Alligator mississippiensis: one gene and its partner. The protein of the gene in region 2 purifies or fractionates together with the protein of the main gene of each other region. This does not show direct contact. Links are inferred from orthologs where the notes say so. Each region holds a gene or a part of one and is shown on either strand. Other genes may lie near its edges.

Evidence for each region. The genes of interacting proteins can lie anywhere in the genome.
Region 1: the proteins of WDR59 (region 2) and SESN2 purify together in Homo sapiens (affinity purification with western blotting; 4 studies listed by BioGRID and IntAct, with this or other methods). This does not show direct contact. The link is inferred for Alligator mississippiensis from reciprocal best matches to the Homo sapiens genes WDR59 and SESN2.

What each region holds. Positions count from the first base shown.
Region 1 is NC_081829.1:2,266,041-2,273,262, forward strand, and holds the start of SESN2 (sestrin-2), read right to left. Parts: upstream 3,018-7,222; 5' UTR 2,819-3,017; coding exon 2,492-2,818; intron 1-2,491. UniProt on the Homo sapiens protein: Functions as an intracellular leucine sensor that negatively regulates the mTORC1 signaling pathway through the GATOR complex. In absence of leucine, binds the GATOR subcomplex GATOR2 and prevents mTORC1 signaling.
Region 2 is NC_081833.1:40,993,159-41,000,996, forward strand, and holds the start of WDR59 (GATOR complex protein WDR59), read right to left. Parts: upstream 3,019-7,838; 5' UTR 2,969-3,018; coding exon 2,915-2,968; intron 1-2,914. UniProt on the Homo sapiens protein: As a component of the GATOR2 complex, functions as an activator of the amino acid-sensing branch of the mTORC1 signaling pathway. The GATOR2 complex indirectly activates mTORC1 through the inhibition of the GATOR1 subcomplex.

The sequences.
Region 1 (7,222 bases), on a different chromosome or scaffold from region 2:
TCGTCTTCTCCGCCTGGCTAACGAGAGCGGGCCTCTCTGATTATCTCTGCCCAGCCCCCTGGGCCTCCAGGGCTGTTGCCAGGGGTGGGGAAGAACACTTTTTCCCTTGGACGGGCTGGCTCCCAAAGCCTCTGTCTCCTCCAAGCTGACACTACCTACCCCATGTCACACCATCCCTCATGGCCCCCATCCTGCCCTCCCACCCCTCGCAGCAACCTCCCAGTCCAACCAACAGCAGCGCGAGGAAAGATGCATGGCCTAGTGGTTACAGCATGGCCTAGTGACTCTGCTACCAACTCGCTGGGGCAAGTCCCTTGACTGATGAGCACTGGAAGAGCGAATCCTGGCCAGCACAGAGCGGGGTGGGCTGCGGGGCCTCCTTCACGGATGCGTGGTGCCCCAGGAGCAACGTGGGCAATAGGGCTAGGAGGGACATTTGAGGGCTCTCCAGTCCAACTCCTGCTGTATAAACGGAGCCGGCTCCATCTTAAAACCACCCGCAACGGATTCCTCTTGAAATCACACCGCTTCTCCCAACCAAATGCCCTGCAGATATTCAAGCCACGCCATCAGCTTGAAAACCAGCCATGCTTCTGTCCAGAAAGAGCTTGCCACAACTCGTGTCTGAGCTCTCTGGAATCCAGTCTGCCTGCCAAAGTTACAGTGCAAACAACGGCACGGATTTTTTTTTGTTTAAATAGCAACAGCAATTCACTCTTATAATAAAAGTGGTGTATTCTGTACTGCTCAAGACATCCAGACTGGAGGCCTTTCTGGAAGGCGCTTTAGCCAAATCCACGTGGCTGAGCCACACAGAGGGAATGGGGTTACGTTTTCTGGCTTCTGATACAGGAGAGGTCGGGGGCTTGCTTCAAAGCAACCTCCGTGGTGTTAAAGTTTTCAGGTGTGTAACAGGATGATTACTTAAAACTACTACAACCTCCCCAGTTAAACCAGTACAGCATGTACTGTCTGCGATGGGGATAAGCGATGCTGGTATTTAGCTGCCTCCATCTTTTACCAATGTAGATCGACAGATACAAGCCCCGAGGGCTGTCGCATCCAAGCACAGCGGATGTGGCACAAAACACTCATACTGACCATGCAATGTACAGTAACTCCTCTCTGGGCAGCGGAAAGCACCCTGGAGGGCTCCTTTCTCCAGTCACTTCCCTATTTCCTCTCATCTGGATTCAGCTGCAAGGATGCTGCTATCCTTGCGCACAGGGGAGGAGGTTTCTGAGCAAGGTCACAGAGAGCTGTGACCTGGATGGTCTGCTGAGCATCGTGCCTGTGAGCCAGCTTGAAGGGACTGACCCATCAGAGGGTTTCTTTTTTCCCCCCGCTTGCCTGCCTTTGCTGCTAGCTAGCACTGGAGCAGCCACTGCACCTGCTCTGCAGAGCAACCTGGTGATGCAGGGACCAAAGGGCATCCCTTACCCAGCACATGGCACCCAGCTCAGAGCTCACCAGTGCTCTGGGAGAGGCGGCAGGCTCTATCCTCCCATCTACAGGGCTCTCCCAGCTGCAGGGAGTGTCCCCATGGGGGGATACAGTACAAAGCCAGGGAGGGCAAAGAGCATCTGATACCAGGGCAGCAGATTTCTCCACCACTTCCCACAGACATTTAGGCAGCCACTGGCCGGAGGACTGGCCAGCTGGAGCCTCAGGGGTGAATCAGCCCTTCATCTTCCCAAGCAGATAAGTGGAGTCATGCAGAGGTCAGTGGTTGTGCAGGAGACAGCCCTACACCACCGGGCCCATGTCAAGGTCTCAGCTGAGCAGGGAGTTGGTCCCGTGTCCTCAGCCAACGCCAGGCCTCCCTGCTCCCCTGTGCATCTGGCTGTGTGCTGATGCTGGGCCAGACTGAGCCCAGTACCTATGCTGGGGGAGCCTAAAGCAACACCACATCTTTTGCTTCCCACTGCACAGAGACCATGAGCAATGCAAAGAGGATGGGGAGAAAGGATCCCAGCTCCCCTGCAACCAGCTGCACCCACTTTGGGGCTGGTCCCAGGGCTGTGCAAGCTGCGATCTCGGGGTATGGGGGCTGCCCTGGGGTACGGGAGCTCTGCGCCCTATGAGCCAGGGAGCAATGCCCGGTTCCAGCAGGACACCAGGTGTTTTCCTGGTACAAAGGACTGCACAAAACCATCCCGCTGCAGCACGACAGCTGTTGTGACTGCTGACGTCTGTGCAGGTGCCTGACCCGAGGCTGGGCTCCACTGGGCCACGAGCCGCACAGACCCCTGGGGAGAGACAGGCTCTCCTGCACAGACACGGCAGGCCGTGTATAGGAGGGGAAACTGAGGAAGCGACTTGCCTAAGGACACCCGGCGGGGTAGCGGCCATGCCAGGAGCAGAACCAGGGGGCTGTACGTGTGCAGTGATGTTCGTAATCATGCACATCACGTGTGCAGTGATGTTGCAATCATGCTGCTGACGTGTGCTTGCAACCCAGCTGGTGCCCAGAGCTGCCCGGCCACCTTACCTGGAGAGCCTGCAGCAGCTGGGAGCACTTCTCTTGGGTCTCTCCAAAGGGGCAGCTCTGGGAGAGCCGGAGTAGCAGCAGCAATGTCCGGTGGAGGCCCGGGGACTCCTCCGTCTCCCCCTGGGACGGGCCAGTGCTGGGGATGCCGCTCAGCAGCTCCCGCCCCAGCGCATCCATCGTTTCTTCTCTGGTCCTCTCGCCTCGACTGTACAACCCCACCCATCTCCCAGGATCCAGGCCCCTGGGAGCCACAGCTCCTTGCTCTCCTGCCGGCACAGCACTGGGCACAGGGGTGCCACCATCCGCAGCTTCCCCGTGGTCCATCATTGCAGCACAGCCACGGGGAAGTCACAGGGGACTCGTCTGGGCCCAGGCTTGGAGGCTGCCTTCCCCCCAGTCAGCCGGCGCTGGTTTCCCGGTTGCTTCACAGGGAGTTTCCAAAGCTGCAGGCCCATTCACGCCACGGTCCGGCCGCCCCTGGCTCAGTCCCAAGGCGAGCTCCTGCCTCTCAGCCAGCCGGTTGGGTGCTCTGCAAAGCAAACAGACGGACAAGTCAGGCCAGGCCTGGGCAGGCTGAGAAAGCATCCCAAGCAGATGCAACGTGATCACCCCGAGAAAGCAGCCCTAGCTGATGCAACCGGATTGCCCGGCCATCGGGTAGCAAAACCAGCACCACGGCACAGGTAAACGGAGCCCAGAGCCAAGCAGGACATTTTGGGAGACATAGTCCTCTGCGCTGCCAGCCCCACGGCCTGCAGGACTTCCGAGGAGGGGGCCACACTGTCCACATGTAACCTCCCCCCAGCCCCATAGATGCCCCATCTCAGAGGATCCCTGTTTCTCGTTAGTTATGAGCTCCTAGCGTGATGTTGTAACCAAAAGCCCCGTCGGTACAGGGGGAAAGCAGGGAGCAGAAGGCAGGGGGTGTCACCTGGGTGCAGGGCCTTGGGGAGACCGAGCTGGTCCAGGTCTGGCGCCTGCCGTTCGGGGCAGGGCACTGAGAACATGCCAAGGGGGCAGGACAGGCCCTGCCGGCAGCAGAAAGAGCCCTGCAGCGAGAGACATGCCAGCTTCATGCAAAAGGAGCCTGAGAGAGGAGTGAGCATCATGCACGGTGTAATACTCGCCTCGAGCCGGCACAGGGCTCGGTGGGGGCCAGCAAGGATTCCAGCACTCCCAGGCAGGACTCGTTTCCTTCCTGCCCCCTCCTCTGCCAGCCTCTATCGGAGGCAACAACGCAATATCCGAGCGAGACGACAGCCTCGCCCAAGTGGAAAAGACAGCTCCACCTCTCGGTGGAGGTACAGACGCTGGCAGCCCGTGCTTTCACAGGGAGATCATATTTTAAATGGGCCTGGTTTGCATCTTCGGTGCATCGCTTTTGCAGCACGTTGCGCTGCTCACGCTGCGCTTGGAAATGCTCGTTTAATCCTGAGTCACAGGGAAGAGTTTCTTCCTCCCGAGTCCCTGACAACATCTGCAGCGTTTAGGAGGTCCCCGGTCAAATACTGACCTGGCCCGATCCTGTTCAGCTTCTGCGACTGGAAAGGATCGTGGCATGTGCTGCTATGGCTGCCACACAGCGCGGGGCACCCAAGCCGAGGAAACATTCATCACGGTGTCATTTTGCCACCGGCTTGCTTGTCCAAAGCCTATCCCCTTTATTGCAAATCAATAGGAAGCAGCTGAAAGGAACAAATATGGGATGAAGCTTTCACTGCCTCAGCTCTCTTTGGTGACAAAGCCTTGGGGATTAAGAACCCAAGTGCGGGTTAGCTTGCTCTCACACTGACAAAGCTTTAAAAACATTAGCTTTATATACATATATATATATGGGCAATCCCACAATCTTCCCCATCTCCACTATGAAACTAAAAGCCCCCGTTTGGACTCTCACAGCTGTGCACTTGGTGCTCCTAAGAAACCATGAAGGATGGAAATATCCATCCGTGAGATTTGATACCTGGGAGATTTTAACAGCTGAGCAGCTCCACGTATTCAGGGTAGCGTTGTGCACAGCACGCGCTCGTTTTATTTCAGGTAGAAGACCTTGGTTAAAACGCCGGGATGCCTATGCCGCAGTGCAGGGCAGAGACACACAAGCTGGCTTTCAGTGAGCCAGCTTGGGTCCTGGAAGGCGTGTACAAGTAGCAGCATGAAACTCAGCTAGAAGCAGGGGAAGTCAGTCCCTGTTGAGCCCCAAGACTATTTCCAGTACCGGCGCTAACCTCGTTTTATTGTACGCTGCACTGCAGTCTGCAGGATAGACACGCGCATCTCTCTCAAAAGCGTCGGGTCCTCCAAAAAGGCACGAAAACACACACGCACGCATCCACAAAGGACCCCAGAACTCACGGACAGACTTGATGATCTAAAACCATCTTTCACAACCTTTTTGGGTGGGTGACACTTCAAAGCTAGACATCTTCATGGCCTTTCTTCCCTTTTCTATGTAATGAAAACAATGCAAGCATGATGAGCTGCTATAAGGCAACCCCAGCCACTGCATTTGACTTCACAAACAAGGGAGATTTCAGCCGGCCCCGAGTTATCCTGGCACCTGTGTTTGCTTTGCACTAACATTTCTCAATCGCAACCCCCTCGCCTGCCTGATGACGAGACTCCTCCTCCCCCATTTGCAGAGAGGTTGTGACCCAGTGGTTGCAAAACACCTTCGAAGGTGCCAAGGGTGTTTTGACCTTCCCCGTCAGGCTTCAGAGCTTGCTCTTCAAAAGCAGCAGGAGCCAAGCCCTGTGCTTTCCTAATCAGACAGACCATCACCTGCTGCTTCTCTGGACTTGGCCATCAGGGAAGAATGAGCGGCATGTCGGCAGCACATACCTGTGCTCAAGATTGCTCCGAGCTGAAATGGGAATGTAATTTTTGGGATGGCTTGTCTGCAACGTGAAATGCCCCTTATTCCAAAACCCTATCGGCTCCCCATACAGCACACTTGTCACCTACCCTACACCCGAGACAGCCAAGAAGAGGGTTAAGTTCTGTGCCCAATTTGTCTATTATTTACATGATGCAAACTGAAATAATAATTGACAAGGCACAATCAGGCCTTGCTTTTGGCTAAATCTTCTTCCTTCCTCTTCGATGCCCCGTTACAAGCTCACCCTGTTTGGAAAGCATTTGATCCGCTTCAATGTTACTCCCACCAAGCTTATTTCTGTGTGGCACAGATGGTTGTGGCCACTGAATTACTCACAGCCTGTCCTGTATCTGAACCGAGCCGCGCAGGAAACTTCAGCAGCACCATCTACCACCGGAACGGGCAGCTCTGACAGAATCAAAGCGGGTTGTGAAATTAAGTTGATGAGCTGGAATTTTGCTTCAGAAGAAAACTGGGAACAAACCACAATTCTGATAATGTCAAGATCCTTCATTTTGAAATCAATGTTTGCAGTTTCTGTTGTGCAATTATTTTAAAATAATTGTGTGTCGTATTACAAATTATAATGCAAAGTCAAATCAAAACACATCCACCCAAATGGAGGTTTGGTTTGACTTTAACTTCGTGTTTGGGAGTTTCTGTCCTATGCAGAACAAAGCCACGTTTCAAAATCCATCATCACATGAATTTATGTCCTCTCCAGCTCAAGTCTGCATCCTCCCCCACCACTGCAAAGTAGGGCACTGCTATTTCCCCGTGGTACAAATGGGGAACTGAGGCTCAGTCTCATTAATTGACTTGCCCTGGGCTGACGATGGTCTAAATGCTTCCAGAATCATCCCGCTTCGGCTTCTCTTGCAGCCATGATGTCCCGAGCTGCCTAGGAGGGTGAGATGCACAGTTTCCATTAATCTCAATGCCCCTTTTGCACCCACATCCCCTAGAAGCTTTGAACATGCCACCCTCTATTTCTCCCCTCAGCTGTCTCCTGTTGAATTGCAGTAGATTTGACATGCTCTGGACAAGCATCACATTGGCAAATAGTGCCAGCTGGGTCCTGAAGGATGGTATCCCTTTTATTCACCCGATGGACGCAGTAATGCCAGCAGCAAGGCAAACGCCTCTCTCCATGAGGCCTCAGACCTGAGCTGGAAGTGGCTCCCAGAGAAGGGAAGGGGAGTTCTCCCTCTTTTGCCCTTCGCCGTATGGTATATTTTGTGAGAACGGACACGTGTTGCCAGTAGCTGGAGGGGCGAGTGGTCTCGTAACAGATACTTCTCCATCAGGAGCCCCACGCTGACTTGTGTACAGACCACCAACCAGAGAGGACACGGGCACCGTGCAGGGTCACTACTGCCCCAGGTCTGAATCTGAATCAACAACGCAGAAGCAGGAGGCACATCATGCTACCAAACTCTTCTCCCTAGCCAGGGGCACCCCGTTCCCCTAATGGCCCTAATTTTTCAAAGCACCCGATCTCTCTTTTGGCTTTAAAGGAGCAGCTGCAATTGTGCTAACTAGTGTCAAATCTCCAAGTGCATTAGGCACCTCTGAGCTTACAGGATAATCTCATGCATCATCCTCGCCCAGCTTATGACACTGCTAGAGCCTTAAATGATGGAAATGTTGAACTACAGTTTTTTAGAAGTCAAAAGTTACCCATGGCTTAAAGGAGATATAGATGAGGGCTCGGGATACCCACCTGAATTTCCAGCAGTGCTCGGCGTGACGGACCTGTGGCTACTTGGCAATAATTGGTGAACGCGGCATGTTGACCTGGTTATCGGGAAGTTTGCTATATGAATACGTTTGTTTAGCTAAGGATTGCTCCA
Region 2 (7,838 bases):
CAACACCTGTTCCATTTTAAAATGTCTCAACTTAAAAACATTATTTCTGTTACCAAAGTGGCATATTTTTCTGTTACCAAAGTGGCATATTTCCTAGCAGGCTGAAGCTGTCTTGGCTCTTCAGATGTCTGGTAGTCACTACAAATTCATCCAAGGACTCCAAGTAAATGACACCAAGGCACAGATCTCCTATCATTATTATTTTCAGAAATCTAATTTAGGAATGGGGCTTTAAAAGCAAATACACCTGTAGGAGAAGGCAACATTTGTTTTACCTGTTCATTACTTCCCTTTCATTGAGAATACCTTCTCTAGATTGCAGTTATTTCTAGAACAGAGCCATGGTGAGATTCAGGATTTTGAAGACGGGCATGCAGCTTTTATAGTGCATCATCACATAATACAAAACACATTTTTCTCCAGTTAAAGGGAAACTAGATTTATTAATATGCTAGGAGCCATTATTCAGTTTAGGATCAAAGCAAATATAAAACTTTATTGGAACATGTACTAATTTGTTAGTTTTACAAATCAAGTGAAAAAAATACAAAGATACTGTTTTATTAGTCCTGTAGTCATTACAGTTAAATGCATCTCTTTTACTCAGACGTGTAAAACAAATCTAGCCTTCTTGAGAATTTGACTGTATATTCAACACTTCGCTGTCAATTGTCTTTTCACCTGAATTAATATTACTACATCTCAGTTAAGGTTTTTAGCTAAAACTAAAATCAGTCTTCAGGGATATGAAATGGAAGAGATATATTACCAGGAATAGCCAACAGGCAGCACAACTGCAGGAAAAAAAGGATAACTTGATTAATGGAACATTAAGACCATTAAAAGGAGAGAGGGCCACTTATACCTATGGAGTAAAGAGAGATTATCAGGAATCAGGTACTTTAAAGTGAGCCATGAAGTTAATTGACTCCCTCAGCACTGCCTGAATAGAAATGCTGCTCTTTTCTAGGCACTTGGCCTTAAAGCTTGGGTGAAACAGAAATCAAAGTGGGATACAACTGTACAACTACACTCCCCCAACTCCCCAATCTGCCCCTGCAGAGCATAGTTAAGGAGGCTCAACAGCACAAAGCTGAAACCAACAGCTGTCCATGGCTACTAGATTGACTTATTTCTAATTTGGGGGTGGTGGAACGTACAGGTTTCCCTCACTTTATGCAGGTTCTGCATGTGCGAAATCACTCTTATGCGATGACCCTTTTCATACCAAAAATGTATTATATGCGAAGTAAATTCACTCTTAGCAATTGGTATGGTAGAAACCCGCAGTCAGCTGCTTAGTGTGGTGCATTGTGGGAGTAACACACACCAAAATATAGTCTCCTGTGTGGATTTGTATTCCTCGCTGGTTGTCTGCAACACATGTTTCTGTAGTTGCCATCCCCATTATGGTAACATTCACCACCACCCTTTGCTTACGTATACTGCCTGCTGTTGGCGAGTACCAAAATTGTCTTGTAAAAATAAAAAAGTGGTAGAAATAGGTCTGGGGGTCAGTACAGTCGAGGTCTTGGAATGCATCCCTATTTGTTACACTGTAAAGTGAGTTCCCTTTATGAGAATTTGAATCATGCACCGTTGTCCAGGAATGCATGTACAACATAAAGCGAGGGAAACCTATATTCAGAAAAACAGTCCCCTCACCTATCAGGGACAGTGCCAGATTTTAAGCTATATATACTGTTAGGTAACAAAAAAGTGTCACTCAAACATAAGTACTTAAGTGAAATGACTGAAAATGAATTAAATTCATGGAATCCATTTTACTGCTCAAGTATGCATTGTCCTTTAGGTTTCATAAAACTTTGTTTTAAAGAAATTACAAGGATGCTACTGGAAAATTATATAGTTCCCGAAACCAAATTAAAAATAATTGTAGGTAAAACACAAGCCCCCTGAGTCTCTCAGGCTAGTTTTGGTGGTTTTACTTGTTATCTTTATTACCATCGTGCTCAAGGACAAGGTCCATCTCTGCTAAGCACTATAACAGCAGGACAAAGAGGCAACCCTTACCCCAAAGGGTTTACAATGCCAGTGTAAGACAAGAGAACAGATGAGAAATATGTGGAAACAATGAGACCACATTAATCAGGGCCATACAAAGCCATCTCAGAGCATCATTTTATTTGTTTCTGTCCCTGATGCTTCTCAAAACCCTCGCTAAAACAAGAGGAAAGTTTCTATTCAAAGACTGTTCTTGAAAGCAGCCACATATTATGCAAGTGCAAGAGCACAAAGAAAAAAAAAAAAAAAAAAAGAAGAGACAGAGAGAAATCTCTCTCTAGTAACTGCTGCTGCTGGTTTTGCCCTCCTACTCACAGGCAACTCAGGCCCTAAACTGTAACTACAAACAGCGAAAGACTTGCGATAGAAACACGGTTTCACTGGGTTAACACCGTCCAACTCAAATCTAGATTTTCCCCACGGTTCCAGCTGGATTCTGGATTTTCCCGGCCTGGCCCCACACCAGGGCAGCACCGCGGCTCACAGGCCGCGCGGGATGCGAAGCAACCGCAGACAAACCGCCCTGGCGAGGCAGTCGCTGCCCAGAGGAGCTGCAGGCGCTGGGAGGGTGGGTCAAGGGCTGCGCCAAGGAACGGCAGGCGCGTCTCTCCCACAAAGCAGCCGCACTTCAGCACCGGCTGTGGGACCCCGGCAACAACACCTGCTGGGCTCCGGTCCAGACCCGGCCGGCTGCGGGCGAGGGGCCCCGGGCAGCGCCCTGTGCGGGATAGCCTCAAGCCCCGCCACCCCCCAGCACAAAGCCGACGGAAGCGGAGAACCCCCTGCCCTGCAGCCCGGGTTCCTCCCGGGGACAGCAGATTCGCCCCCAGCAAGGGCGGGCAGGGGGGGCGGGCGCATGCGCCCTGCGGCGGCGGCGGGTAGAGCTCACCTGCGAGTCCCGAAACTCCACCACCACGTTCTCGCTGCTCCAGCGCGCCGCCATCTTGGCCGCCCAGAGCAACAGGTGACGCCAGGAAGAGGAAGCGCAGGGGCTGCTGGGAGCTGTAGTTCGCCGCGGGCCGCATGACCGCAGGCGGCGAGGTTAAGGCCGAGCAGAGACGCGCCTTCCCTGCGGCGCAGGTGGCCTGCGCGGTTGGCGGCAGTGGGCCCTGCAGATCGCCTGGTGCAGGGGCTGATCCTCTGTATCTGTAAATGGCTTTTGAAGGGAGCGGTTGGAGTGGTTTCCTTGGCCTCTGGCAGCTCCAAACCAACGATCATAGACCCTGCAGAGGGTACTGAATAGCAGCTCTAGAGCGGGGGTGCTCAATCTCTGGCCCACAGGCCGGATCCAACCCTGGCATCTTGTCATCCGGCTCGTGGGGCTCTCCACAGGGCTGTGGGGAGCCCCATAGGTCATAACCCTGCATGCTGGATCTGGTGTGCAGGGCAGCACAGGGATCCATCTGGCATGCAAAGCCAGGAAGATGTGGCATGGGGGCCAAGGCATTGATCCTGGCGCACAGCCTGGCGGAGGTTGCATGGGGTCCTGGGAAAGCACAGTCCAGATCCAGGTGTGCAGGCCTAATCCTGGGGTGCAGGGGCCAATCTGGCCCACAGGCTGGTCCTGCACCGCTCGCTTACCCTGTGGTGCCAGAAGGTTGTGCCAGTGCTTTTGATACCAGTTTAACGCTCTCCCTCTAGTCTACAAAATCCACTTCTGCCACACGTTGGCAGGATACAGGGCTAGCTGGACTGTTGGTCTGCCCCAGCCTGGCACTTCTTGTCCACAACAGAGCACATCTTTTGTTGCACAGAACTCAGAAAGACCACAACAGGCCAGGATCTTGAGGTTTATCTTGTGAATCCAGTAGGCACACTTACCAGTACTAAGGTCTGGCACCCCATGGCACTCCTGAAAGGATGTCAAAGCACCCCAGGGTGGCCTGGCATCCTGGTTGAGAATCACCGATCTGTGCATTTGCTTAACACTGCTATCATGTGTAGTCCCACTGAAGTCAAATGGGTATTGCACCCTACTAAATTTAAAACAAATATTAGAGTCCCTGAGGAACTGGAACCAGTGTTGACAGCTCCAGCATTTAAGGCTTATGCCAATGTATAGGAACATGAAAGAAGCTGATTAGGAAAGAATTTTCACAGTGAAGTGAGTGAAATGCAAATGTAACACACATAAATAATGAAAAGTAAATTAAATTGCAAAAATTCTGTATCTAGACTTGAAGATAATCCTTGTGGAACTGATGTGTGAATTTCCCAATATAAAGAGTGAATTCTTGGTTTCACTGAAGTCAATGGCAAAATTCAGAGTGTGCGGGCCGGGTCTGACCCCGGGCCCTTTTCGTTGCTCTGCACGTGGGCTGTGGCCGGCAGCCCAGGCAGGCCGGATTGGAGAGGGAGGTCACCGAGCTAGAATTAGGCACAGACACGTAACGGTTGATTTTAAGATTGTTTTACTTACACCGAGATGGTCGTGGCGTAGGCTGAGAACTTGCTTGAGTTGCGGTTACAACAGAAAACACGAACACACGTGGAGGTTGCAAGGTTCCACGCAGACAAAACACGAACAATCACATGGAGCTTGCTAGGCTCCACGCAGACAAACTCCGGATGTCCAGGACAAGCGCGCATAAAACTCGTCGTTACGTCTTATAGTAGGCTCCGTTCGAAGACGGGAAGAGGTGGGCGGTGGATCAGGCCGCCAAACTCCTCTGAGTGACACACAGGGTTTCTATTACCCTGCCGCGCACACCCAGAGTCCCCACGAGATGGGTGCGGAGTCCTCTTCAGCTTGGGCGGAAACTGCTCAAGCCTCTTATACGGCTAGCAGGCCAATCGCTAGCCGCTACGTGTGAATAATTTAGCACTAGCCAATTGCGGGGCACAAATTTGCATACGATGAGCGGGAAATCTTTGCACTGTGCATTTCTGTGTTGCAAAGGGAAATGCACCCTGCAAAGATTGCTGCAAAGTGGCGGGAACACTCCTTTGCACGCGGGTTCTCTGTGCAGCAGAACTCCTCTGTGCAGTGAAGTTGTAAACCCACGGGGATAATTCTTAGTGCTGAAGCACACACAAAAAAATCAGACCTTTGGGTCATGACATCCCCCCTTGCTGAAGGCACAATAGAATTATACTTCAAACCTATCATCTGGGTTATTCATAGCTCTGTCAATGGTTCACAAAACTAAACGAGCAAAAACAAAATCAGTCAACAATAAAAGTTCGTCCTCAAGGGATCGAATCAAATAATAACCGACACACACACATATACATAAAATCACATTCATAACAAAATACTGAATGATCATGACTTCGGTGGGCGTCATGGTGGAATCGCGCATCAGGCCTTCGTTCCTTTCGGTGATGTTGTCCTTCTCGGGGCCTCTCTCCACCACGCACTCTGAATCCCTGATCTGTAAAAGAACTCTCTCAAAATGGTTATTCACAAATCACACAGGACCGCACGATAATGCAGTTGATTAAACTTATCATTACTATTAAATACAAATATGTAAACACGATTTTATACTGGACAGCTCTCTTTCTTTTCACGTTTAGCAACTCGACGAAATCGTCGATGAGTCATCATCGCCTTCTTCTAGATAGTGAAAACCTAACTCGTAGGCTAGCTGCCATTGTCCCGCGTCTCCTAAAATCCGAAGCTGTCTCTTATTAAGTCCAGAGCGCTGCAGGAGGTATCCAAACATGTATCGCTCCTCTTGTGTTCTCTGGCGTAATACTGGACGCTCGGATTCGCAGTGTTTTGTGTTCTGAGCCTCAGTCGGGTGTTGATACTCAAGATCACTGGATAGTCTTGGCTCCATGAGGACGCGCAGTCTTGATAACTGATGAAGGAGACTACTCACAGGATGATCGACCAGTGGGTTCAGCACAATCTGCAAAACCATGATGTTTCTTTGCCTGTAGACTTTAAGATAACTATCTATGCTGTCGAGAGTCACCGGAACAGTTCCAGGGTCTCGCAGGTGACGGTGAGGTCATGGTCGCATTCGTTGGAGCGGTGTTAGTCCCAATGTGCATTCTCTTGGGTTCCAGGCGCAATACGAAACTCCGATAATAGCCAGTACAAGCTGTTCTGCACCGGTGTGCTCTGGTCGGCCGTCGTGCCATGCGTGGGCCTTCTGTTCAATCACTCCTGCCACAAGCGCTGGAATCGGAATAGGCCAATAGATGCTAAACGCCACCATGTCGATGTCGGTGACATGTCCCCTACTCCATGAAGCTTGTCTCACCAAGAAGCTTGCTTCTTCCTGGTCCAGGAGGTCGGACCCAAGTTCCACGACTAGACGTCCCAACCACACAGCCAGAGTTTCGTTGGATCGTATCCTGGATTCCCTACGCAAATTCTGCAGTTCGGCTCTGGAACGAGCGTAATAGGTGGTAGCTTGAACTGCACTCTGTGGACTGATGACTGGGCTGCTTGATACTGCAGGCTGATCAATTTCTTCGCGAGTTGTCGTTGCTGTTGCTGTTTCTGTCGGAGCTGCAGTCATTGTTACAGTGGGAGTCGTTGCTGTCTCAGGCGGGAGGGGCAGATGCACTCCTCCACTTGACTCCCCCTCCCTTCAGCAGAGGGGAGCGGTCGGCGGAACCGACGCTGCGTTGCTGGGCGGAGTTACCGGCCGAACCCTCGCGGGCTCTCCCGAAGCTCCATCCCTCACTTCTGGCTTCTCCACATGGTCTTCTCTCCGCTCGGCGCCATCTTGTTGAGGCTTTTCAAGATCCCTTTTCTCAGCCGCTTCTCCGACCGCCCGAACGGCCATATGCAGCTGGGTCTTTAAGCTTAAAGTTTCACTCATTAAATCAGCCATAGTTTGAAAGGTTGCATTTAGTTTTCCCCCCTTGTCGCATTGTAGGACTACTCTCTCATTTACGGTGCGGTCCTCCGTCTCCGGGTCTTCGCGGAGCTCGGACGGACGCTCACGACCCCTCAGTCTAGGCACCACCATGCAAGGAGAAAACCAGCCGATTGGCATCGTCTGTCCCATCTCTCGGGCACACCGTGAGCAACGGACACACTCCCGGGTGGGGGTTGGGCTTACTGCGCTCGCCGGGTCGACTTTGGCAAGGGTCACAGCATCGAGGGGCCTATACAGGACCCGCTCATCGCCCACGATACACCCGAACGCCGCGGGGTGAAGATATACTTCTTTCCCTTCTAGGGCTCCGACTTCTGGGGTTCCCTCTTCTCCCCTTAACGAAAGGTGTCCATGGACACATCTCCTGCCCGTTCCGCCCGCCTGGTGGTACGCGAGGTGCGCCTCCAGTTCTCTGACGCTTGCTATGCTGCGTCTCCCACTTCTCCAAGGGCAGTTCTCAACTAATTCTAACTCTAGCGAGCCCTCTTCTGATCCCATTGGCATGTGCCGCGGCGATCCCGATCCCATCCTCGTCGCCATGTGCGGGCCGGGTCTGACCCCAGGCCCTTTTCGTCGCTCTGCACGCAGGCTGTGGCCAGTAGCCCAGGCAGGCCGGATCGGAGAGGGAGGTCGCCGAGCTAGAATTAGGCACAGACACATAACGGTTGATTTTAAGATTGTTTTATTTACACCGAGATGGTCGTGGCGTAGGCTGAGAACTTGCTTGAGTTGCGGTTACAACAGAAAACACGAACACACGTGGAGGTTGCAAGGCTCCACGCAGACAAACTCCGGATGTCCAGGACAAGCGCGCATAAAACTCGTCGTTACGTCTTATAGTAGGCTCCGTTCGAAGACGGGAAGAGGTGGGCGGTGGATCAGGCCGCCAAACTCCTCTGAGCGACACACAGGGTTTCTATTACCCTGCCACGCACACCCAGAGTCCCCACGAAATGGGTGCGGAGTCCTCTT